2 linked regions of the Arabidopsis thaliana genome follow. The protein of the gene in region 1 interacts with the protein of each later gene in a pairwise test. Each region holds a gene or a part of one and is shown in the gene's direction. Other genes may lie near its edges.

Evidence for each region.
Region 2: the proteins of UBP18 (region 1) and AT1G73660 interact in a two-hybrid assay, tested with the Arabidopsis thaliana proteins (one study listed by BioGRID).

The regions. Positions count from the first base shown.
Region 1 is NC_003075.7:15,335,074-15,341,659, reverse strand, and holds UBP18 (ubiquitin-specific protease 18), read left to right. Parts: upstream 1-2,046; 5' UTR 2,047-2,153; coding exon 2,154-2,395; intron 2,396-2,853; coding exon 2,854-3,049; intron 3,050-3,135; coding exon 3,136-3,224; intron 3,225-3,325; coding exon 3,326-3,411; intron 3,412-3,512; coding exon 3,513-3,675; intron 3,676-3,770; coding exon 3,771-3,894; intron 3,895-4,194; coding exon 4,195-4,352; intron 4,353-4,444; coding exon 4,445-4,529; intron 4,530-4,615; coding exon 4,616-4,828; intron 4,829-4,926; coding exon 4,927-4,988; intron 4,989-5,175; coding exon 5,176-5,653; 3' UTR 5,654-5,917; downstream 5,918-6,586. Other genes in the region: AT4G31680 (Transcriptional factor B3 family protein), read left to right, coding at 1-30, 116-231, 333-635, 706-948, 1,018-1,371; AT4G31660 (AP2/B3-like transcriptional factor family protein), read right to left, coding at 6,554-6,586.
Region 2 is NC_003070.9:27,691,363-27,699,525, reverse strand, and holds AT1G73660 (protein tyrosine kinase family protein), read left to right. Parts: upstream 1-2,153; 5' UTR 2,154-2,807; coding exon 2,808-3,368; intron 3,369-3,461; coding exon 3,462-3,902; intron 3,903-3,984; coding exon 3,985-4,088; intron 4,089-4,226; coding exon 4,227-5,389; intron 5,390-5,472; coding exon 5,473-5,513; intron 5,514-5,625; coding exon 5,626-5,694; intron 5,695-5,787; coding exon 5,788-5,888; intron 5,889-6,152; coding exon 6,153-6,231; intron 6,232-6,323; coding exon 6,324-6,422; intron 6,423-6,531; coding exon 6,532-6,600; intron 6,601-6,699; coding exon 6,700-6,749; intron 6,750-6,842; coding exon 6,843-7,019; intron 7,020-7,140; coding exon 7,141-7,279; 3' UTR 7,280-7,633; downstream 7,634-8,163. Other genes in the region: AT1G73655 (FKBP-like peptidyl-prolyl cis-trans isomerase family protein), read left to right, coding at 7,745-8,043. UniProt on the Arabidopsis thaliana protein: Acts as a negative regulator of salt tolerance. Mediates sugar response during early seedling development.

The DNA.
Region 1 (6,586 bases):
ATGAAGAAGGCGAAGAGAGTGGTGAAGTTGGTATGATTGAATCATCATTCAGTGACCACATTTACATTTATTTAGACTCTTTTCTATTCTTGAAACGTTTCAATTTCTGATTCAGAAATATCCGAGAGAGAAGTTGAGGAGAATTTGCAAAAAGAATATGATCAGTCTTCAGCAGATCTGAATTGTTTTAGCCAATCCGTAACGCACTCAAACATATCAAATGATCTTGTGGTTAGTCAGATTAACGGTTTCTTTGGTGTTGTTATGTTTATTTATAGTTCAAATCTGTGTGAGTGTATATAAGTCCCAATGCAATTTGATGACTGATGCAGACTCTGCCCAGGGATTTCGCAAAACGAAACGGTTTAGACAAAGGAATGCATGAGATAGTATTGATGAATGAAGAAGGAAAGTCATGGGAATCAGAAGTAAGGAGTAGAATGTCTGGTCAGGTTTTTATTGTTGGAGGTTGGAAAAGTCTCTGCAGCGAAAATAAATTAAAAGGTGGAGATTCTTGCACATTCAAACTGCTGCAAAATGCGAAAACGCCCGTGTTTCAGCTCTGTAGCCGCATCGGAGAAAGTCGGTTTGTGAAGTTAACTCCTACACTAAACAGCCTTGAGATTGGCAAACAGGTGACTTTTCGAAACCTCTATCTCTGGTTTCTTCAGTGCAGTGTCTTTTTAATTCTGAATACTTTTGCAGCATCTACCGGTAAGTTTCACGAAAGGGAATGGACTCATACATCCGGGGGAGATAATTCTGGTGGACAAAGACAGAGTTGAATGGTCGATGAAGCTTCAGGTTGATAATAGAGGAGGGATGCATATATTTGGTGGTAATGACTGGAAAAGTTTCTGTGCCGCAAATGAAGTAGGCGCAGGGGAGTCACTAACTTTGGAGTTGATTCGAGGAGGCTTAAGTCCTTTATTCAAGTTCTTCTCCAAGGTCAGTATTTCAAATAGCTTGCAGTCCACGTTTTAGGTTTTGCTAAATCAAACAACGACTTGTTTTCAGATAGAGCAACCCTCATTCGAAGCAGAGGATAGGAGACACAAGAGAGCTCGAGTCCATAATGGGAGCCAGGAAACAGATAAGGGAGAACCTTCTCGAGCAACTAAAATGGGACCGGAGCTTGAGAAAAGGGAGAAGACAGCTGAAAAAGGAGAACCGTCTCGAGCATCTAACAAATCCAGTGGTAAACAAGGAAACTTACAGAAAACGCAAGCTTGCTCTGTCACAGATCACGTGGCTAAGGTGAAAGAGAGCGTTGTAGATACTTTAACTAGTATCAGACGGTTCCAAGCAGAGCTTGAAACAATGGAACAGAAATTAGAAGATTCATTGCAGGAAATCAACAAGTTAAGTTAGGTATGATCTGTAATCTGTAATATTATCATTCTTATAACAATCTTTTAGTTTCGGTTTTGGTTTTGTTCAAATTTCTAACAATTTGAATTTGGCACAGAGAGAGGAGAAGATAACATCTTCAAGTAATAATCAAGTTTAAATGTGAAACTGAAGACTCTTGTAACCTCTGTTTTTATTATATGACTTTGTTTAAGATGTAGTTGTTTTATTTTCCCTTTTTTCATTTTGTTAATTAATCGTAAAGTTTATAATGTTCTTGTTCTCTGTTGGCGGACTAATGTCGTATTTCCATAATATTTATTAATTAGTATCTGATAAGTGATAACAACTTAAAATGGTTTTTTTTTTTTCCTTATCTGCATCACTGCATTGAAATGGTAAACAAAAAATGACTTTATCTGCTGCAACAAGCCATAGCCAAAAACAATACAAAACCAATATACAGTAGTTTTTTTTTTTTTTTTGTCGTAACCAATATAGTTTTATTAAGGAAAAGAAAAGTAATCATAGCCAAAAAAAGGAATTATTACAAGGTAACGACAAAAAACGTAGTTGAAAAAGGAAAACAAAAAAGCATATAAAGGCCCAATCTTTGTAATTGCATTGGAAAGGCCCAAACCCAACAACATAGAACACTGTCTTCTCTACTAAGTAACAAAAATCAACGAAGCGGTAATTCTTGAACAGACAAAGAAAAAAAAAAGGTGAATACTTGAAATATATAAAAGATACAGAAGACACGAGAAGGGAGAAGAGATCGATGATTTTGAGAAGCGAATTAGATGCATGAGGTTGGTTTTCCGTTGGATCTCTCTGTCTTCACTCGCCTTATAGCGACTCTATTTTTCCTCGCCGTTGGTGTTTTTTACTTTCTCAAAAACACCGCCGCTAAGTACTTCGACATCGGAGCCGCCGCCGCCGGAGGTTTCGACAGGGACTTCATGGCGGTTGATGCTGAGGATTGCTCTGTCTGTGGGAATTTTTCCACCAAGAAATGCTCCCGCTGCAAATCCGTTCGATACTGGTATGCCCTCAAATTCAGTCTCTTTGTTGGGATCATCTCGAGCTTAGCGTAATTGAAAGATTGATTTAGTTTGCTTGCTTTGAGCTTGCGATGTGTAATTCTTTTCAATTTTCAAAGTCTTGAGCTTTTCAATAGAAGAATCATGGGTTTGGAAGTTGTTGCTTAGATACTTTTGTGAACTTAATTTGTATGAGCTCAGATAGTTTGGATTATCTTGGTGTTTCTTCCCGCGGCTTTGCTCCGAGTTTTCGCTAGTGTTCAATTGATGTTTGAGCTGTGATGTTGTTTCTTTATTTTCTGTAGATTTCTTTGTTCAGCTACTTGTTTTCTTTGTAACTTCTCTCACAAATTCGAAAATGGTATAAATTTTTCACATTGTTACCCAAAAAAATAAAATTGGTTTTAGTGCATATTTTCGAAATTGAGTATCTTTGTCTGAATGGTCTGTTTGCTATCAGCTCAGCAGAGTGCCAAAGGTCAGATTGGAGTTCGGGTCATCAAAGAAACTGCAGGGATTATGGGATTACTACATTAACACCATCTGCAAAGAATGGCTTAAGGTTCAGAGCTTCTCCATTCGGGGATAGTTCTGCGTCTAGTATTGCACTGATTTCCGAACGGGGCCAAAACAAGAGTAGTCTCAAGCCAAGAGAAGTAATGTGTCTTCTTTTTCCTCATGTTGACACTCTCTTGATAGAGTCTTTGTGTTAACTTGTACTTTTGTTTTGCATCTTCTGCAGGTTCTTTTTCCATATGAAGAATTTGTTGAATATTTTAACTGGGACAATCCAGAATTGGCTCCCTGTGGGCTCATGAATTGTGGAAATAGGTTTGTGTTCATCTACTTTCTAGTATATCTTAACAGTATCAGTTGAAGGAATGGATTTTTTTTTTCTCCCTTGAATATGATCTTCTTTACTCCTCTTTCAGTTGTTTCGCCAATGTGATTCTACAATGCCTTTCCTGGACACGTCCTCTTGTTGCATATCTGCTGGAGAAAGGCCACAAGAGAGAATGTAAAACTTCTTTCTTTTCATTTTTGCACTAATGCTTCAAACTCTTTCGTTTGTGGTTTTCTGTATTCGCTTTAGCTTTGATTCTACGTTTTGTTTGACAGGTATGCGCAACGATTGGTGCTTCCTCTGTGAATTTCAAACCCATGTTGAGAGAGCGAGTCAAAGTCGGTTCCCTTTTTCACCAATGAACATTATTTCACGGTTAACTAATATTGGTGGAACTCTTGGATATGGAAGACAGGAGGATGCTCATGAGTTCATGAGGTCAGTATCTCTTGCTCATGAAAATAGCTAATTCCTAGTGGTGTTTAGTCTGTGAATCTCCCAACTGATGGATTTATACAACTCACATACTGCAGGTATGCGATTGATATGATGCAGTCTGTTTGCCTTGATGAATTCGGTGGAGAAAAAATAGTGCCTCCTCGTTCACAAGAAACAACACTTATTCAGTATATATTTGGAGGTCTCCTTCAATCACAGGTGATATTTCCTGATCTAAATATCAGATGTCCATCTATTAAGGCAAGCGAGCAATAGATGAAATTCCACTCTCTAGAATTATTGGGATCTTACGAAATTCCATGTTATACATATACATGTTAGAATTCAACATGCTACTTATTTTGTCTTTAGCTGGCTGCCTCCATTGAGAATATATGTAACTTGATTTCAGTTGATAAAAACGATCAAGATCCTTCCTGTGATAAACTTACATTAACTTCTAATGTTCCTCTGTGTGTGGAGCTTTTTCCCTGATTTGCTGCATTTTCAAATTTCCAGGTTCAATGTACTGTTTGCAATCATGTTTCTGACCAATATGAAAATATGATGGATCTAATCGTTGAGATGCATGGGGATGCGGGGTCTTTGGAGGAATGTCTTGATCAATTTACAGCCGAAGAGTGGCTTCATGGAGATAATATGTACAAATGTGATAGGTATAAAAGCTATGTTTCTTAAGCAATGTGTTAGTTGATTAGTTGACAAATTGACTAAGTTTCTTAAACCCGATACTATTCTTTCTGTCCAGGTGTAGTGACTATGTAAAAGCATGTAAGCGTCTTACGATTCGACGCGCTCCAAATATTCTTACTATTGCCTTAAAAAGATATCAGGTATTTGTGGCATTCCCCTACCTTTTGCTAGATTCTTCTTGGAAGAAGTTGTCTTTAAAATACATCTGTGAAATTATTATGTACAGGGAGGAAGATACGGAAAATTGAACAAAAGAATAAGTTTTCCCGAGACATTGGATCTTAATCCTTACATGAGTGAAGGCGGAGATGGATCAGATGTATATAAACTCTATGCAGTGATTGTCCATTTAGATATGCTGAATGCATCATTCTTCGGCCATTACATATGCTACATTAAGGATTTTTGCGGAAACTGGTATAGAATAGATGATTCCGAGGTAACACTCATTTACTTTCCGCTCTTCTTGTTAGCATGAAATTGTGATGATTCCATAAATGTTGAGCAATCTCTAACCGTAATCGAAAATACTCTCAGATAGAAAGTGTTGAATTAGAAGATGTCCTTTCTCAAAGAGCTTATATGCTCCTCTACAGCAGGTAAGCTGTTATTTCCTCCTGTCTTTTGTTGTTCAGCTCTCCGTGTAAATCTAATCTATAACCACAAGATTGAGGGTGTTTACTTCATCATTAAGAGTTGCGTAAATTGATTGTATATGATGAAAAATATAAACAGACTAATGTTGTTGAGCTTGTGAGTTTCTTATGTTTCTCTGTTGTCATGCAGGATTCAAGCTCGGTCGTCATCTTCATGTCTTAGATCAGAAGTTAAAGACGAGAAGAAAACAGACACATTGGACACAGAATCTTGCGTAAAAGAGTTAGTTGAGAGTTCAATGGTAGGAGCTATTGAAAGCAGAAGCAGCACCCATGCGACCATTGAAGACCCTGTATGCGAGCAATCACCATCACCATCGCCATCACCATCACCATCACCATCGCCATCACCATCACCATCAGTATTGGCCTCTGAATGTTGTAGTGAGGTTGAAAGGATTGATACATTGGATTCCGAGTCCAACTCTTCGATTGATGACTCTGCAACAGATCATCAAGAGGATGTAGCAAATGGGAACAAAGATCCAGAGGTAAAATATCAGGCTGCCGATTCTTGGTCAGACCCTACAACTTCAACTCCATTGGTCTGTACAAAATCCAAACCTCCGGTGAGAGATATGGACACCAAGATGATCGACGCTCAGTGATGTGGTATGTTACAACATTTGAAAATCAGCAGAGCTTTTTAGCTTACAAAGTTACAATAGTGATGTAGATACTATTACACAATGACTTCTATGGTAATAAAGGGTGATTATACGTAGAATTTAAATGTTCGTGAATTGCCATATTGTTTGCCATTCATGTGACAGACTCATTTAGACCCATAAGTAGGTAAATATTTTGTTGACTTAAATAGACGCATTGACTCTTACCTAAAAAGTTCATAACTACATTAGATTCATACCACATAGGTGATGAATTCAATATAAAAGATTATACTTGTGAACAAGTTGGATGCAAATTAGAGTCAATTCTTGGCCTTGGAGCAGAACTTGAGCATAGGAAGAGTTGTTTTGTCTTCTCAAACCAACTCCAACACAAAAGATTTGCATGCCTCGATGCCATTAGCCTTGAAAAACTCTTTCAACCCTGAACCGAATCGCGTCTGTGTATTTCCCTTGTACATGACTAAATTCACTGGCCACTCTACTCCATGCTTGTCCAACAGAGTTATCTTCTTCATTCCTAGGTTTTCCATTCGGTTACCCTTAATGAATTTGATTGGAACACGCTGCAAACAAAGGAGAATATAAGCTTACACTAACTAAGTGAACTTTCATAAAGCATTGATGATAACCAAAACCAAGGGAACAAAACTCCTCCTAGAGAGTTGTTTTAACTTACAAGTCTACCATCTTTGAGAGCGGCTGGTGTGACGGTTAGTGTCAAAAATCGGTATTCACTTACTGAAGATGACGATGATGGAACTTTTTGGCTACTGTCACCAGATTCCTTTCTCTTTATTTTGTTGAAATCTTTAGTGGAAACACTCTTTAATTCTGCAGTGGAGAAACGAAGAAGAGGCGTTTTGGTGTTATTCCTCTCTAGTTTAAACGTGACGGAATCTCCAGGTTTAA
Region 2 (8,163 bases), on another chromosome or scaffold:
GTAGATAGACAATGAGACCATATATTTTTTCACGTATCATTTTATGTATAAGTGGGTTCTTAAAGAAAAAAAATTATAAGTGGATTCTTAAAAAAGGATAACCACCTCGACGCATTCAACAAAATAATGCCATACTTAATTCCTAAACTAGCGTGCATAGATATAGAAACTTAAACTAATTAAAACACATTAGCAAGATTTTTTTCAATGATTTAACGAAGGAGGAGTATGAGATAGAGGAGAAAAGTGATAGGTGGGGAAGTGGTCCCAGCACCAAAAAAAATGTGTGGCTGTCACCAATTGGAATGCACCAAATTCTTTTTACGACATAAAAACAAAAACTGAAAGATTGTTTTTTTTGTTTTGCTTTCTGATAGGATAACTATGACGTGGCATGCGTCACTAGACGCATTATCATTCGCGCGTCCATTTCACGTGGTACAGTCAAATTAGTCAAACCTCCCGGGAGAAACGAATGTTCTTTTACGGTTTTAACTTTTAACTTTTAATCTTGCTGCTTTGGCCTATTAAACTCTTCTTTTCTGAGCAAAATCACACACGCTATGTTTTATGGTTACGTAAACGCTTTTTTTTATTGGCTTAAACCAAACATAACGTGTAGTAAATAGAAACTCTCCATTCACTTCTTCTTTTTTTGTTTGTTTAAATGTTACTAAGATTTATACCAAATCAAAAATATTTTCTTATGTTTTCGGACAAAACTCAAGCCCCATTTACTTTTTTTTTTTTTTTTGTATGTTTTAATGTTACTATAAGATTTATTCCAAATCAAAAATCTTTTCTTATGTTTTCGGACAAATCTCAAGCCGCCCAAAATTGAATTGTTAGCCAACTACCCTTGAGCACTTAAAACCTCCAATCGTTTTCCTTTTTTCTTGTTTTATTTTATGGAATACAGATCCTTTATACTATAAAATAGATTTTTGAGAAGTGTCATAGTTGGAAAAGTAGATAACATATTTAAGTCGAATGGGGGGGGGGATGAATATGAAAACCACGGTAATAGTATATTTTTGTTTTTTACCGTATTTATCATTCCAGTATATAAAAATTAAAATGTAAAGTTTAATTTTTAAAAAAAATTACGTATAAATTATTTCAACAAATAATCATCTTCTATGGTGGAAAACAATTTCCAAGACACATAAAGAGTTACCTTAATTAATGATACATTAAAAAAAAATTACCTGATGGTTTCTGAACCTCACAATCGTGTGGACACTATAGAGTTGATCACTGGAAAAATCATAAATATTCGTGTTGGTCAACTATTGGCTCATAGCTCACACCATTTAATAAGTTCAAAGAAGATACAATGATTACCTATTACATAAATCATACATGCATACGTGTGGTTGTCCATATTTTGACATTAATCATATACTATAATAAACTCATATATTTTGTGCATATATGACATACATAGCTATCTCTATTGTAAGTTGTAAGTCGTAACCACTATATAAACTAATTAATTACATATGTATATAGTGATAGATATGTTGAATGATCGAAGAGATAACGGTGTCTCTTCACGAAAATAGAGTTTCATCAAAAGCAAGATAACGGAGTACTAATTATCTAACTCGTTAATTAATTGAGCTCTATCTTAGTAAGATTCACCGGACACTGCAATATACAATTAACCACGTGCTTTTCAAGTGAATATTCAGTTAAATTCTCATTTGTCTTTTCTTTAGAATTGACACCTTAAGCTATTTCTAGTCATTCTCAAAATATAAAAAGTTAATGGTCCTTAATTGCCGTGACAATTGCTATTCTTCTTTTATTCCCAAAAGAGATACAAGTATAAAAGATCGAAACGCTATACTATTTATTAAAAAAAATAAAAATACAGTTTTAATTATATGACCAAAAAGACTTTTGATATATTTGATCGAAAAATGAAAATTGATTTAGAACTTGATTGGTTCTCCTACTACCATATGCAAATGTTGAGTTTGCGGTTGCTAGCGTTTAAAATGAATCAAAGAAATTGCTTTAAACCACTTTGGATAGTTTTTTTATTGTTCTAATGCAAAATTTTAAAGAAAACATTCCCGTAAGTATTTTTATTTATATATTAGTGAATTAAGGACAAAAAATGTATCTCACAGTTTTCTCAGAATTTTCTTTTTTGACATAGTAATGAATAAATTGATGTAGATTCTATGCTGTTTATAGAAACAAAAAGTAACCGTTTTAAATGCCTCAATTGACGTTAAGTCTGTCTTGGTGCAATTTAATTATGTTTCGTCATCATCTTTTCAAGTTCACGCACTAAGCTTAGTGAAAAAGATACGCCTTTTTTCTTGTTCTGTTTTGTTTTGCATGTCACAGTAAGTAACTCTCCTCCTCAATTATCAAAAATGCAAACTTTAATTTTCTTCTAGAGAAGAGCCACTCTCTCCACTTCTTTCTTTGTCCAACTTTTTAGACAGAGAAAGTGGCGTCAGAGATAGATAGAGAGATACATATTCAAGTTGGTTGAAGGAGGAGAATTAGCGGTTCATATCAGTACGGAGAAAATTGTCAGTCATATGCTTTTTTTCTTTAAATTCTGCATTTGAGTGGGTGTGTGCTTTTAACCATTTTGGTGATTTATCAAAAAAAAAAAAAAAATTCTGTGTGTTTTGAGCTCAAGCTCTCTACAAATTTTGCTGTCTCAAGTTTTTGCCTTTTGAAGTCCAATAAAGTTGAAATCTTTGTTCTTTTTGATTGGTCTTCGTGAATTCCGGTGAAAGTTTCAAACTTTTGATTTAAATTCCGGGGAGGAATTAGGGTTTATGAAAGTAAAAGAAGAAACTTTGAAGAATTTGGGAGATGGAGTGGTTTTAAGACCTGTTGATCATTGTTCTAGCATTTGGAGTATGAAGATGAACATGAAGAACTTTCTTAAGAAACTTCATATCTCGCCCAATCAATCAGATGAAGCTGAAGGATCAATTTCAACAACTAAGAGCAATCATCATAAGTCTATCGATGTATCATCATCATCATCACCGAGGTCTCATCACAGCAATAGCCCTGAAATCAAACCTTTTTCTGGTTTATCTAATTGGTTAAGTTCTGTTGGTCATAGAAAAATCCCTAGTCCTCCTAATTCTTTCAATGCCAAGAACAGAGCCGCCACGGTTGATGACACTGTTGTTGTTAATGGGTCAGAACATGTGGATTTAGGTTCCAAAGATCCAGCTGTTGAAGAAGAGAATCAGATACAGTTGGCTTTAGAGTTAAGTGCTAGAGAAGATCCTGAGGCTACTCAGATTGAGGCTATTAAGCAATTCAGTTTAGGCTCTTGTGCTCCTGAGAACTCTCCAGCTGAACTCATCGCTTATCGCTACTGGGTAAGCTTTTGATTCAATTGTTTTCTCTGCATAACAGAAACTCTTTAGTTACTCCCAAGAACTCATTTCATTTTGGTATTGTTGCATTCACAGAATTACAATTGTCTTGGCTATGATGACAAGATCTTGGATGGTTTTTATGACTTGTATGGAGTGTTGAATGCATCCTCAGCAGAAAGAATACCTCCTTTGCTCGATCTTCAAGGGACACCTGTTTCAGACGGTGTGACATGGGAAGCTGTTCTTGTGAACAGAAGTGGGGATTCTAATCTGTTGAGACTTGAACAGATGGCTCTTGATATTGCTGCTAAATCAAGATCAGTTTCTTCCTCTGGTTTTGTGAATAGTGAATTGGTAAGGAAACTGGCTATTTTAGTGGGAGATTACATGGGTGGACCAGTCGTGCACCCAGAGAGCATGTTGAGAGCTTGGAGGAGTCTTAGCTATAGTTTGAAAGCAACTCTTGGAAGCATGGTTTTGCCACTTGGTTCTCTGACTATTGGTTTGGCTCGTCACCGAGCCTTGTTATTCAAAGTATGCACTTTTTCTTCTGAATCTCAGCACTTTTAAGTTTATTTCATTTCTTATGGTTCTTTCTTTATATGAAACTTTGTAGGTATTGTGTGATAGTGTTGGTGTTCCTTGTCGAATAGTCAAAGGTCAGCAATATACCGGTTCTGAAGATGTGGCAATGAACTTTATTAAGGCTGATGATGGCAGGTAATCATCACATTAATGTGTAGATTCAATATTTGTCTATCATTCATGTATATTGTTATCTAATCTGCACCTCCTGAAGCTAATATTGAGGCTTAAAGAAAGAAACTTTGTTATATGCTATTCAATTGTGAATTTCAGGGAGTACATTGTTGATCTTATGGGAGATCCCGGCACGCTTATTCCAGCTGATGCAGCTGGACTACAAATAGACTATGATGAATCTGCCTATTCCGCTAGTCCTGGAGACAATGATTCAATTCATGTAGCTTCTTCCAGCAATGGTATTGAAAGCTCATATGAAGAGAATACAGAGTTTCGAACAGGGGAACATCGTTCTAGTACCAAGAGTTCTGGGGAGAGAAACCAATCCGGAGGTGGAGGCGATCTCATTGTTCATCCAAATATTTCTAGAGAAGATGTGAAAAATCAGAAGAAAGTTGAAAAGGCTCCATTTCAAAATCTGTCTAGCAGGCCTATTCATTCTTTCACCCATATGAGATCACCTTCTTGGACTGAAGGGGTTAGCTCCCCAGCTGCACAAAGGATGAAAGTCAAAGATGTTTCACAATATATGATTGATGCTGCTAAAGAGAATCCACGGTTAGCTCAGAAGCTTCATGATGTATTACTTGAAAGCGGAGTTGTAGCTCCTCCCAATTTATTTTCCGAAGTCTATCCCCAGCAATTGGAGGCAACTGTTGAAAGCAAAAACTCGACTGAAGCCAAGAAAGAGAGAGGAAAAGATTTAGAGACAACTCAGGAAGGAAGACACCAAAACGGTTTTGGTCCAGTGAGGTTTTTGCCTCCATTACCAAGAGTGCAATCTAAAACAAATGCACATGATCAACGTGATAATGGCAAAGTTGTAAGTCAGTCTGATTCTTCACATTCTGAAGCATCTTCGACAGAATATGCCAGAACCGTCCCTGCTGCTGTAGCTGCAGCTGCTGTTGTTGCATCTTCCATGGTTGCTGCTGCTGCTGCCAAGTCTGCAAACTCAGACTCCTCCCCCATAGAACTTCCTGCTGCAGCTGCTGCCACGGCCACTGCTGCTGCAGTTGTGGCAACAGCTGCAGCCGTGTCCAGGCAACTTGAATTAGGCTCGAATAGCGACGGGGATGATGGTTCTGGTGGGCATGAGCCTCAAGGTAGTGGGGACTCTAATCATGGGCCAAATTCAGGAGGGGAAAGAATATCTGACAAATCTATTGGCAATGAAAGTTCTAAGTCAGACTGTGATGATGTATCTGACTGTGAGATTTTGTGGGAAGAAATTACTGTGGGAGAACGTATTGGACTTGGTACCTGACTTATCATCATCTGTTATCTGCTTTGGTGTAACTACATCTTCAAATAATTAACTACTTTACTTCTTTTGATACAGGATCTTATGGAGAAGTGTATCGGGGAGATTGGCACGGGACTGTGAGTATTATATTTGCTTTTCCAATTTATACTGTGAATTTGAACTCGATGAAAAAAGAGTTTAGAAATTCCTTAGTTTGAGTTCCATATCGTCGAAACTCTTGAACTTTAGGAAGTGGCTGTCAAGAAGTTCCTTGATCAAGATTTAACAGGAGAAGCATTGGAGGAATTCAGAAGTGAGGTACGAGCCTTTCTTCTAATCTTTTCTTTTACCTGATTTTCCATGTTGATTAGTTCTATATCAAACCCTTCTTATATATTCTTGTGATACAAGGTCCGAATCATGAAAAAGCTAAGACATCCCAACATTGTTCTCTTCATGGGAGCTGTGACTCGCCCACCGAATCTTTCAATTGTTACAGAGTTTCTTCCTAGGTAATACTATGATCTTTGCAAGATTCAGTTACTTTGATATGATTCTCATGGCTACAACGATTTCCATCTCCTTATTCATGATGCGCATGCCTCTGTTTTTATCTATTTTGTGACCTCTAAATGCCAAAATCTTCTTTGCATCAATGAGTGTTGTTCAAGTATTTGCTTTAAGTTCTAAAATCTGGATGGTTTGAACAGGTTCAATCCGGTTGTGCTTCGTTTTTGGATCTTTACATTATAATATTTTTTTCCAAACTTGTGCAGAGGTAGCTTGTATAGGTTAATCCACCGGCCAAATAACCAATTAGACGAGAGGAGGCGCCTGAGAATGGCCCTTGATGCTGTATTAGTCTTTTCTTCTCTTACTATATCACCTGTTTGTAACTTCTTGATTCTTTCAGTAGAGTGTTGAGGTAACATATTACTTGTATTCAGGCTCGTGGAATGAACTATTTGCACAGCTGTAATCCGATGATTGTCCATCGCGATCTTAAGTCCCCAAACCTTCTAGTTGACAAAAACTGGGTCGTGAAGGTCAGATTCTCTCCATAAAATTTATTGTTTCTTACCAAGTGGATAATGTTATATCGTATGTAACAGCTATAAGTTTACATAACAAATACTGGATTTTCATATATATCAGGTGTGTGATTTTGGATTGTCTAGGATGAAACACAGTACATACCTCTCTTCAAAGTCAACAGCAGGGACGGTAAGAAGCAAGTTATAGTCTCCCCTGTCTTAATCATCTCTTTTTACAGTTATTGTAATTGCCAGTTCGTTAATCTAATTATGTGTTGGTCTTATAAAGGCTGAATGGATGGCTCCAGAAGTGCTAAGAAACGAACCTGCTGATGAGAAGTATGCTCTTAGATCTTTTGCTACTAGATATTCATTTTGTTCCCTTTTGTCAGAAGCAGGCCTAATGTCAGGAAAAAACAATACGTGAAACAGGTGCGATGTTTACAGCTACGGTGTGATCTTATGGGAACTCTTTACGTTACAACAACCGTGGGGAAAGATGAACCCGATGCAAGTAGTTGGGGCAGTTGGGTTTCAGCATCGACGTCTTGACATTCCCGACTTTGTAGATCCAGCAATTGCAGATCTCATCAGTAAATGCTGGCAGACGTGAGTATAGATTATTTTTCAATGTTTCAGCCACAATATGAAGTAGCAGTGCTTAAACAACATCATTTCACTTGACCATGTCTCAGTTAACACATGTAATGGCTTTGTGTGTGTTTATCAGGGATTCAAAGTTAAGGCCAAGTTTTGCAGAGATAATGGCGTCTCTAAAGCGGCTACAGAAACCTGTAACAGGTTCCAACATCCCAAGACCAGTCCCCAGTTCCTCTTCATTACCAACTGAACATGAACAAAAGGATTGATAACAGAAGAAGACGACCAAAGTGGCAAACACATTTTTGACGAATTCAATCTGTTTGAAGGAAAAAAAAGCTACAAATGTTCCTTCTCTGCTACTTTTTGCCTCAGCTTCAGTGTTTGACACAGCTTGTGAATTGTGAAAAAGAAAGATTCATGGAAGATGACGATTGAAGAAGGTGAAGGATTGTGCTCGTGTGTTTTGTTGTCTTTGCTTGCAAGCGATGTTCATGTTCATGCGTAATTTCCTCTATTTTGTTTTCCAATATTGAAACTGTACAAAGAGAGAAAGAAAAAACAATTGACAAACTCGTCGAAACGTTGACCGAAAACATATATTAAAAAAAATCATTGAGCTCTGTCTTTATTCATCACACGAACAAGATAAGGCTGATCTTTATTATTGGGATATATGAATCAAAATAATATAATATTTTAAAAAACTTTGCTTTTACGAAAAATCTTTGACAATGGCGACTCTCTTCACTGCGACGGTTCCTTCTCACCACCGTTTCGTCTCTCCATCCCAACATCCGAAACAGAGTCTTCTATCGCAGTCGCTAAGCGTCACATTCACGGAGAATCCACAACCAACGGCGGTGGTCACATTGCAGGAGCAGCAATTGACGGATTGGATTACTTCTCCGGTGACGCGACGGTTCGGAATCGGCGCCGGGTTTACCTGGGCTGGGTTTTTAGCTTTCGGTGTTGTCTCCGAGCAGATGAAGAAGTCACGACTCGATGTGTTTCAGGAAGAGGATAACACAAGGTTACTCTTACTCATCAAGACTTCGAATTATTCTCTTGTTAAGAACTAAAGATGGAAAATTTAAGTGAATGTTAGCAATTAGGGATTTGATAATACAATCAAAGACTTGAGCTCATAGTT